Linked DNA regions of Drosophila melanogaster. The protein of the gene in region 2 interacts with the protein of the main gene of each other region in a pairwise test. Each region holds a gene or a part of one and is shown on either strand. Other genes may lie near its edges.

Region 1 (3,249 bases), on a different chromosome or scaffold from region 2:
GGAATTCGAATCGAGTAGCCGAAATGGAACTGGTTCCGAATGGAAGAATTATAAAAAATAATATGTAAAAATTAAACAAAAGTCATGGTACCGTAAAAATTACACCATTCTATAGTTTAGAAGCTTATTTCATTGCTGTTTTCAACTATATATACTATATATTATATTCTATTTGAGCATGATCCGCCATCCTGACCAACGTCGTCTATAAGTTTATGCTCTCCAAATCTGAAATTATTTCAATGTAAATTCGAATTTCCGAACTAGTTTACTGGCACCAGCACACGTAGGAACCACTCGAATTAAAATCTTTTTTTGGCTTCGATGCGCGCAAAAAATATGCAAAATAAATGCGGGCAAAAAATCGCTGGCCAAGTCCATTAAAAGGGAATAAGTGCGTGCAAATCCTGGCCGCAGGATGTTTTTCATATTATCAGAACGCATATTACTTCATCGGAAATGAAGAGCTTTCGTTCCCCCCGCTAGTTGCCAAAGTAAACATGTGTGAATTGCTCGGGAAAAGTGAGGGATGATGGGCGGGATGATGGCCATGATATCCATATCTGTATCCGTATCCATAACCATAACCACGCGCCTTTTTCGCTACACTAAAACCGCAATACAAACACACCCACACCCACTTAAGAGAACGGAAAAAAGAACGAGGGGCACAGGATATGTTGGATGGAATGTACTGTGCACCACATTCAAGTTGATCCCCTTGTAAATCTCTAAATTGTTTTATGAACATATTGGCCGGGAAGGTGTAAACCTAATTTTCCTTTATGAACCGGACGAGGCAGGTAAAGTGGAAGTGCATCCATACCCGGACTTTTTGTTCCGGCTCAGCAGGATGCACTCCATATCAATGTGCTCTTTGTTTGGCCGCCTCATTTAAATCGTACCGCTGGCCAATTTGCATTCGCACTACAGCCAAATTGATCCGCCCTAATCCCAGTTTTAGTTTTGGTTCCCGAACTTCTTCTTCGCTACTTCGAGCGACCGACCGATCGACCGAGATTTATAAGCGCGGGATTTGAATTTGCTAGAAAAACAAAACTCCTCTGCCTTTTCCTCAGGCTTTAGCCTTAGCCCTGGTTTGGCTATGTTTCTGGCTGGGATTGGCTTGGATCTGGATTTCGGTCCGATCCGGCTTGGCTTCTGCTCTGGCTTTAACTTTGCGCTTGCCCTTTGCCGGGAAGGTCTGAACCAGAGTTTTGAAGTCAGTCGGTTGACCGGAAAAGGCCTTCAAGGGGTTGGCCGCGAGGGCAGGGAAATATAAGGGTTTTATCATTTAAGAAATGAAGAGATTTTGTTGGAATAAGTAATTCTTCAAAAATGAATAAAATTTCATTTCATTAATTTGCGGCATAATTTCATAATTATTAATTATATAAATTTTGTAATATATTGTATTGATTTTTAAGACAATTTTTTTTAATATGTATCTATGAGATTCTAAGTTAGAAACAATAATTATTATATCTAAAAGTAACATGGTGGCGCCATCTGTTGTTCCCTGAAAGCCCCTGTACTTAATTTCCGGTAACAGTAATAAGACGCCATCTGGAGTTCGCGTTGTTTACAATCTGTACACACACTGGAATTAACAGCTGTTACAGTCCGATAGACGATTATTCACATCACAATCTTAAACTGCTTTTAAAAAGATATTATTTAAAATTATTTACAAAGAAAACAACCAATTGCCAAATCAAAATTATAATGAATCATTATTAAAGCGCTTCATATGAACCAAAATATATAATTCTGTGAAGCGGTCGCTAGATTTCAGTTTCTGGCCACATTTTGGATAATTTGGCAACACTGCAATCTTGTTATTGCTTATGCTGAGAAGTAAACAAAAGGCGACGAATGTTTGTATTTTCCTAATAAAAGCCAATGGAGGATTGGAAATCGGAGGAAATGGCAAGGAAAAGAAACAGGAATAGGAGCAAGCAGCGCAGACGAAGGCAGAAAAGTGAGGGAAAGCCGAAGCCACATACATCTCGAGATCAGTGGAGCAATGTGGCTCAAAGTAACAATAATAGTCATTAATAAGTTTTTTAATAGTGTTAACCATTTAAAATTCCCTGTTATTGTAGTATACCAAAGCCTTTTTGAATGGCACCACAATCATGTTATGAGTCTCTGCCCTGAGGTTAATCCGAATCTGGATCAGGACCTTGAGGATATTCCCAAGGAAACAGGAACGTTTCACTGCCTGGACTACGTGTACGAGAGTTCTTCCGAGGATGAGGAGATCGAACCCATTGACGAGGGCTATCTGAAGTTCCTCGAGGTGACCATTAAGCATCAGCAGGAACTCAGGGATCGAAGAACTGCCCAAACCACCGACTCTTTAGATTAGAATTTTGGTAAAATAGGTTTTTACGCAGATGAAAACTTACAGTTCATTTTTATCTGGTAATGACTTAAAAATGTATCTTACGTAAAATGTTATAATTTAAGCTCAAGTTTATAGGTTTGGTATTTAGTTTTGGTAAGCAGAAAATGTACCTTTTATAGGGGATATTTTTATATGTAGCACTTTGTCTTGAACGTATTAAGTATATAAGATGTTTTGATAACTTAATGTTCATACTTAGCCATTCTAACTGAATGCCTCAAAGGGCTAGAATCAAGACCTGCGTAGGACGAAAAAGCAACTGTACTTTAATTCCCGGAACTCTTCAAGCGGGAGACAAGTGTCTGATATTCTGCTTTTCTCACATGGTTCTCCACTAATGAAGTTGTGCGAAGTTGGCAGTTTTTTGGCCAAAGGAAACGCACATTAACCCGACCAAGACTAATGCGATGTCATTTATAATCGCGCTGGGAGAACCAGAAGAAAGCTTCAAATTGGGGCATGACTAAAAAGGGAGAGGGGCTTTTGGTAGGATGGAGGACCATTTGTGGGTCAGAGACAATGTCTGCTGCTCGTGTGGGCGTGGCAAGTTGGGCATTAGCCAACATTTTTCGGCACTTTTCAGCAGAAAACCTAATTAAGACGTCCGACTCTGAGTGGCAATGGATTTTCTTGGCTTACTTATATCCCCCATCCTCTCTCTCCTGACCAAGCTCCTCCGCCCCACGGAGCTCGTTTCCCACCTGCTCCTCATTCTCCACTGAAATCACGACTGGCGACGACAACTGCGAACGACCTTTCTAATGCCCGGCCACTGCATAAATCATGGCCCAAATGGCGGCCACCTGCAACCGGCAGCAATAGCAGTAAGCCAACAGCAA
Region 2 (3,755 bases):
ACATCTTGCGCTTGGTCTCGTAGCTGGACAGCCGGTTAATGGACTGGATTATGGCCTGGTCCAAGGGCAATACCAGACCCTGGCCGTTGTGGTAGCAGCCGTTCGAGTTCATCTGCCCACCAGCTGTCTGTGCACCCAGCTGCGACTGACAGTTGCTGATGGTCTCGTCTTGATCCACCACAATGAGCTCCTCATCGTCGGCGGTCACAGGCAGCTGCGGCCGCGGCTGGTATCCGGCGCTGGTGGATAGCTGCAAGATGTCGCCACCCCTTACGCCATTTTTTCGACCCGTCTCCTTCAGATACTCCGCATCGAAGCAGTCCTCGCAGTCGTATTGGTCCTGCACCGCCTGCTGTGTGAAAACCGCTTTCGTTCGGCCCGTGATGTTCAACAGCTCCGTGTGGAAGAGGGCCAGTGGCGCCATTAGGGCCTCATCGCCCACCTGTATGGTGTAGCGCAGCCACTGGCCGTTATGTTTGCGCAGGTTGAAGTGCTTCTCCTGGGCGCCACAAACGCTGGCGTTCAGGTGGCAAAACTTTTCCTTCAGCTCGTCCAGCAGATGGGCATCCACATAGCTCTCCTGCACATTGCACTCGCGATAGGGAAAGCCGCACTTTCGCAGCAGCAGGAGTAGCACCTGATCCAGGTCGCCGCCGCCATAGGACAGCCGCACCCTGGCATCCAGCTGCGAAATTCCGTCCTCGATGCAGGCTATGGAGGTCTTTTGGGCGCCAATGTCCACCACACAGCCGTACCCAATGCCGGCGCCAAAGGTGGAGGCGACGCTGTCCTGGACGAGGAAGCAGCGCCGAAAGCCCAAACGCCTCAGCAGCAGGGTCACGAACTCGCGCAGATGCCGCCGCACATAGACATCGTTGACCACCAAGACGGCGCAGTGGGTGCCCAGTTTACGCAGCGGGATCTTCAGACGCTCTTCCAGGGCGTACGACCAGATTCGTTCCAAGTGCTGCATGCTGGCCTGAAAAAAAAAAAACAGCTTCATCAGTTTAGTTTGGAAACTACGAGGAACAACGCAGCACACACTTGTAGCGAGCCGCCCTTCTCGTTGTGCACATTCAGCTCGCCCCTTTGAATGGGAAAATGGATGTCGTAGTTGCGGGCATCCACAGCACCGAGTCGCAGGATACGGTCGTCGAACAGCACGGGTGCCTCGCGATCCAGCCAGGGCTCGTCCGCCATCTGGCCACTGGGCGCCGGCACCTTCTCCGCCTGACTGCTCCGGTTGAAGTGGGCCAGTTGCTGCGGCGGAGTGGCCACCCGCAACCGGTTTTTGTTATCGACGACGCAGTGCTGCAGAATGCGCGACACCACCAGGCGCTGCTCCTCGAACTCCACCATCAGGCCGGAGTTTGAGTTGACGTTGTCCAGCGGCGGCAGCAGCGGATCATGATGCGGCCTATCGCTGGCCCCCGGACGCCTCCTGTAGGCCACCGCGTGCAGCAGGGTCAGCGGATTAAGGTCGGCCGCCCTGCCGATCCTCAAGTGCTGCGATCCAGGATGGATGACGATAATCTTTGGCGCCTCCAGTGGCTGCGCCTGCGGCTGGGGCAGCCCAATTGGCGGCGGCGCCGGATGCCGGCCACTGCTGGTGCTGCTGGCTCGGGATCGTCTGGACGAAGGGAGAGTAGCCAAGTTGCAAAATTAGTTGCTTCACATACCACTTACTTATTCACTTACTGCATCGTTTGCTTTCCGAAATCCGGATCCTTTGAAAATGCGGAAATCGGAGGCAACAACAAATGGCAACAAAGCCAATGTGACCGTGGTGCGCAAATGAGAACATTTATAAAACAGGAACACAGGAAAAACAGAAAGTTAAAGTAATAAAAAAATAGGGCTGATTTACAAAACTCATTTTTCATTAATTACTATTAATTCATTGTTGAAATTCAAAGCACTCATATATATAACATATAACAAATTCTTTGTTTAGTATATTGTGTGTGGATGGTGCCGACGTGAGTGCCGTCTGGTCACACTGTCAAGAACGTGGTTTTGTTTTTTAATCATCACCATTAAATTGAGCAGCCTTACTTTCCATTGTGAAATACGCCATTCCAGAGTGCCAACGAAAACGAGAGTGCCAGTCAAGCGATCATCGAATCCACTCAGCGCCACAATGTCGCACTTCACCTGCCTGAACTGCGATGCCCGCTTCGCCAGCGCGGATGTGCAGCGGAATCACTACAAGACCGACTGGCATCGCTACAATCTGAAGCGCAGGGTGGCCCAGCTGCCGCCCGTTACGGCCGAGGAGTTCCAGCAGCGCGTTCTTAGCGCCCGCAGCGCCACGGACGCGGCACTCGAGGAGCAGAACCTAAGTGTCTACTGCCACGCCTGCAGACGCCAATTCGCCAGCCAGAAGGCGCACGACAACCACCTGAACAGCCGCAAGCACAAGGAGCTGCTGGCCCGCTTCGAGCGCGAGCAGATGACAGCTAGCGGCGGCAGCGCCAGCACCGCCACATCCGTGTGCACGCGCAGCGTCGTGGAGCAGCGGCCCCATCCGGCCCTGGCCGCCGCAGCCGCTGGCAAGGGTCGACTGGCCTTCGCGGAGCGGGTGGTCAAGGCCAATAACGACGAGGAGATGGTCGACGAGGACGACGATGATTTCGAGGACATTGAAGAGGAGGAGGTAGGAAGCGCTATGCAGATAGAGCTCGCATTAGACTTTTCCTTGCTCATAGAAGGGTTACCTTGAGAATGATTTCCTTGGAGATTCTATGCCTGGTTAAGATATGCACCTTTACAACGTATACAGCTTCTTATAAAGAACAACTTGATTTTTTGCAGGTGGATTCCGATGAGTGGGACAAGATACCCGAGAATCCGCTGACCGAGCGCGACTGCCTGTTCTGCACACATGCCAGCGAGGATCTGGTGGAGAACCTAAAGCACATGTCCGTGGCGCACTCGTTCTTCATTCCGGACACCGAGTACTGCACGGACATCGAGGGCCTTCTGTACTACCTGGGCGAGAAGGTGGCCAACTACTTCATCTGCCTGTTCTGCAACGATCGCGGCAAGACCTTCTATTCCCTGGACGCCGTGCGCAAACACATGATCGACAAGGGCCACTGCCAGATGCTGCACGAGGGTGTGGCGCTGGCCGAGTATGCCGAATACTACGACTACAGCAGCAGTTATCCGGACAATGTGAGTATCACATAGCACAAGCAAACCTCCATTTATGCTGACTGAATCTTGGAAAACCTTTTAACCCGCACAGAATGAGGGCATGGACATTGACGAAGAGGTGGTGCCGGATCTGCTCGATGGCGATGAGTATCAGCTGGTGCTGCCCTCAGGCGCGGTCATTGGTCATCGCTCCCTGCTTCGCTACTACAAGCAGCGTCTTCGTCCGGAACGCGCCGTCGTCATCAAGAAGTCCGACCGCAAACTGCACCGCGTGCTCAGCGAGTACCGGGCTCTGGGCTGGACGCAAACGCAGCAGCTGTCCGCCGCCCGCAAGGCACGCGACATTCATCTGATGAAGCGCGTCCAGTCCAAGTGGCAGATGAAGCTCGGCTGCAAGGCCAATAAGCTGCAGAAGCACTATCGTGCACAGGTTCTGATCTAATCATCGCTTGCTTTTCTTTCCAAATGCTATTGGCCTCCCCCCTACTTGTACAATAAAAAGTTTTTGAGTTTTGCTTAAATTAAGCATATTTGTTTGCTTTCTATATTACTAGCGATTTCTCGTCGAATAAAATTACATAATTTAAATTAACAAT
Region 3 (3,755 bases), on a different chromosome or scaffold from region 2:
TCTACACACGATTCACTTTTGCATTTTAAGATATGGGTAAGTTCCTTGGAATAGGACACACGTAGCACTAACTAGATTTGCCCTTGCTTTTGATTGGAAACATTTAACACTGAAAAAGAAAATTGGCTTACTTCGATGAACCAACAGTCTGTACTTGTTGACTAACTAATTTTTACTTAACCTTTTAGGTGTCGTATCCATGAAGGACGTCGACAGTCATTCCATATCGCTGGATGTAATGCCGCTGAGCACCGGCTTTCTACCAATGCCCAGCATTCGATTATCCAAGTATACTGCCGGTGGCAAAAGTAAAACCGATGGCCACTCCAAGGTGCATCCCTTTCCGCCCGGTCAAGTCTACAACTCCACGAAGAGCATGCAGATCCATGTCATCGCAAGTGTGGCGGGGGATCAATGAGAAGCCAAACGAATTAATTGCAATGTACTCATAGCACATATGGCCCATGGCCAAGTATTATTAATTATTTATCGCCCTACTATAAAGTAGTAAAAATTGAAAATCAAATCAAGTTAAGATTTTTTTGCCCTCAGATCCGCGGCCAATTTGGCCAGTTGTTGCTCCTCCACGCGGTAGTAGTGCCAGCCCTCTTTATCTGTCAAATCCACGGCACCAAGACTTTCGTAGAACTTGCGTGCAGGATTCCATTCCAGTACATTAAACTCCAGGCGAGGGCACTGAAGCTCTACAGCCCGCGATGCAACCTCCAAGAAGATTCGCTTTCCGGCGCCGCGTTTACGGTGCTCGGGGCGGACATAGATGTCCTCGACGAAGAAGTACCGTCCCTGCCACGTTGAGTATGCCTTGTAGCAAATGGAGTACCCAATCGCCTGACTAGAATAGGAGAACAAGCCCACAAGTTAATCAGGTCATGCCAAGAACTACAGCACTTACTCAGTATCGTTGTCTACAAGCACATAGACTTCACAATACTCCTGGCCACCAGTGAGTCCTGCGTCTCGTTTAAGATCTGTCATATTACAATCCATTACTTTACCATTATTTCATTACTATGGTAAGGGTTTCGCCATCTCTTACCTTCCTCTGTTAGCTGGGGACCATTGCTCATCTTCTCAAAGTCAGCCAGTTCCTGCAGATCAATTCAAAAGTATCTCAAATTGGTATTAAAATAGGAATCTTATAAAACTCAACTTGAATCATGGAGAGCACATCTTTAATATCTTCAGCTAGAGCACGCCGGAATGTAAACTCTCCGGATTTCGACATAGTGGGAAATCTTTATAACCTGTGTTTTTCTGATTATGGTCAAAAGAGCTTATCTTTTGTCGAAACAATTCTAATCTATAGAGATGAGCCGAACTCTCGTGATCACAATTTAATATAACTCAATATCGATTGGGAAAAGAATTATTTGTTGTTAATAAGTAAAAAAATTAGATGAAACAAGAATAAGCCCAGATTCTTGTATATATACGATTCACATTTGAAATAATTTTATTTCAATGCACTTATCGCCATAAAATTAGATTATTTAATACTCTTCTTTACTCATTAGAATTATTTTTTGAATTGCGCGAAGGCCGCCAACAGCATTAAAGGTGTGACCAGGTGCACTTGAAATGCATCGGTATATTCAGCGTAACAAACTTCAGCCATACTGCATTTATTTAATTGTTTTATTTTGTTTCTGCATTTGACCGATTGCGTCGCGAAATGGATGTGGACAAGATCTGTCTTACCTGCCTGAGTTCCACGGGACCACTCCTGTCCATCTACGACGGCGGATCCGGCAGCTGCCTGGCGGACATGATCCGGGAGTTCACAAAAACCAAGGTGAGTTGCCTTCGCCGAGTGATCCTGATTTCCATGTTAATCTCGATTTAATTCGCGTTTTCAAGCCCCGCCGCAACGATAATCTGCCCGAGAAGGTGTGCCTAAGCTGTTTGAGTGAAATCTCCAATTGCTATACCTTCAAGATCAAGTGCGAGAACTCCAGTCGCACCCTGCGCCAATTGCTGCCGAATGCGTTGCCGGAGGAGCCCGATAGCAAGGTGTCTATCAGTTGTCCAGTGGCCACGACGGACCAGGCTGTGCAGACCACTAGCTGGGAGCCGGACAGATGCACAGCCTCCGTGCAAACGGACGCAGTGACTACCACAGACGCCGAACAGAATACCAGCCTGATTAAGTCAACGATTTCAGTGGACCTGGACTACGAAGGCGAGGGCGAGGTATTCGATTACGAGCTGCCGGATGAGCCCGTCGAAAAGACCACCAGCCTCATCCTGCAGGTCCAGGGGAACTTGAAGGACGAAAAGGAAGTTGTGTTTACCCAAACCAATGTTATTTACGAAGGCGACGACCACGAGCTGGAACAGCAGATCAGGGAATGTAACCTGGCCATCTTCGAAGGTGTCGATAACGAGGCGGAGATCATCACAGTAACCGCTCCGCAGGTAACCACCAGAAAGAGCGCTGCCAAGCTTCTAACGCAGCAGGAAAACGATAAGCATCAGACTCCTGTGGGTTCTAAGGAGGAAGCACGCGAATTAGAGAAGGAACAAGTACCTCAGTCGGCTAAGCGCACCTCACGGCGTCGCGGAGTTGTCAAGCAGGATGTACCGGCTACACCGCCGTCAGATGCAGAGCCTTCCCCCAAACAGCATCGGTTAGGAACACAGCGAAAACTCAGCGCGCCAAGAGCGGGAACAGTAAACGGGCCAAGCACAACGTCAGGAGCAGCTACTACCCCTGAGCTCAAATATCACTGTGATCGTTGCAATGCGGGATTCGCGGTGGAGAAATCGTTGATGATCCACAGACGCCAAAAGGGCTGCATTAATCGCAACTACAAGTGCAATGAGTGCGAAAAGGTCTTCGTGTCGCCGGATCACTTGGCGGAACACCAGGCCAGTCATGGTGCCCACAATTGCCCGGAGTGTGGAATACGCTGTGATTCCAAGGAGGCACTTAGCAAGCACATGGTGCAGGGCCACAAGCGGAATCTGCGGAATCAGTGCAATATCTGTCAGAAAGGTAAGATAACAAAGAGTGGTCGAAAATCCTATTTAATTGTCTCTTAATATTGTAGTATTCACCATGCTGTCCACGCTGCGTGACCACATGCGCATCCACACCGGCGAGAAACCCTTTGTGTGCAATATCTGTGGCAAGAGCTTTACACAGAATGCCAATCTGCGCCAGCACAAGCTGCGTCACTCGGAGACAAAGAGTTTCAAGTGCGAGCTGTGCCCGCACTCGTTTGTTACCAAGGCGGAACTCACCTCTCATGCACGCACCCACACCGGCGACAAGCCCTTCGAGTGTGAGGTGTGCTTGGCCAGATTCACCACTAGTTGCTCCCTGGCCAAGCACAAACGAAAGCACACTGGCGAACGGCCATACGCCTGCGATCTCTGCCCCATGAGATTCACTGCCCTCAATGTGCTAAAGAACCACCGAAGGACGCACACAGGTGAGCGGCCGTACGTCTGTCCCTTCTGCTCGAAGACCTTTACGCAGCGGGGTGACTGCCAGATGCACCAGCGTACACATCAGGGCGAGCGGATCTACATTTGTCCGGTGTGCAATGAGGAGTTCAAGTCGATGCCCGAGATGCGATCACATCTGGCCGGCCACGAGCAGCACGACAAACGCCTGGTGCACTTCACATTTCTAAGCAACAAGGAAAACGGAAGCGGGGCCCTTGAAGAGGAACTTAACGAGATGACCGAGTCTGCGCTTATGCTATAAATCAATGTAGAAGCTGTGCAAG

What was found.
Region 1: the proteins of CG6769 (region 2) and CG13689 interact in a two-hybrid assay, tested with the Drosophila melanogaster proteins (one large-scale study listed by BioGRID).
Region 3: the proteins of CG6769 (region 2) and CG6654 interact in a two-hybrid assay, tested with the Drosophila melanogaster proteins (one large-scale study listed by BioGRID).

Annotation. Positions count from the first base shown.
Region 1 is NT_033779.5:600,969-604,217, forward strand, and holds CG13689 (uncharacterized protein), read left to right. Parts: upstream 1-1,844; 5' UTR 1,845-1,902; coding exon 1,903-2,038; intron 2,039-2,105; coding exon 2,106-2,371; 3' UTR 2,372-2,594; downstream 2,595-3,249.
Region 2 is NC_004354.4:17,859,024-17,862,778, forward strand, and holds CG6769 (uncharacterized protein), read left to right. Parts: upstream 1-1,978; 5' UTR 1,979-2,140; coding exon 2,141-2,656; intron 2,657-2,814; coding exon 2,815-3,177; intron 3,178-3,250; coding exon 3,251-3,601; 3' UTR 3,602-3,752; downstream 3,753-3,755. Other genes in the region: Arp8 (Actin-related protein 8), read right to left, coding at 1-979, 1,045-1,630, 1,699-1,703.
Region 3 is NT_033777.3:15,211,524-15,215,278, reverse strand, and holds the start of CG6654 (uncharacterized protein), read left to right. Parts: upstream 1-1,620; 5' UTR 1,621-1,693; coding exon 1,694-1,813; intron 1,814-1,878; coding exon 1,879-3,016; intron 3,017-3,071; coding exon 3,072-3,733; 3' UTR 3,734-3,755. Other genes in the region: SIDL (shal interactor of Di-Leucine motif), read left to right, coding at 189-418; CG4210 (uncharacterized protein), read right to left, coding at 532-853, 914-989, 1,058-1,109, 1,172-1,246.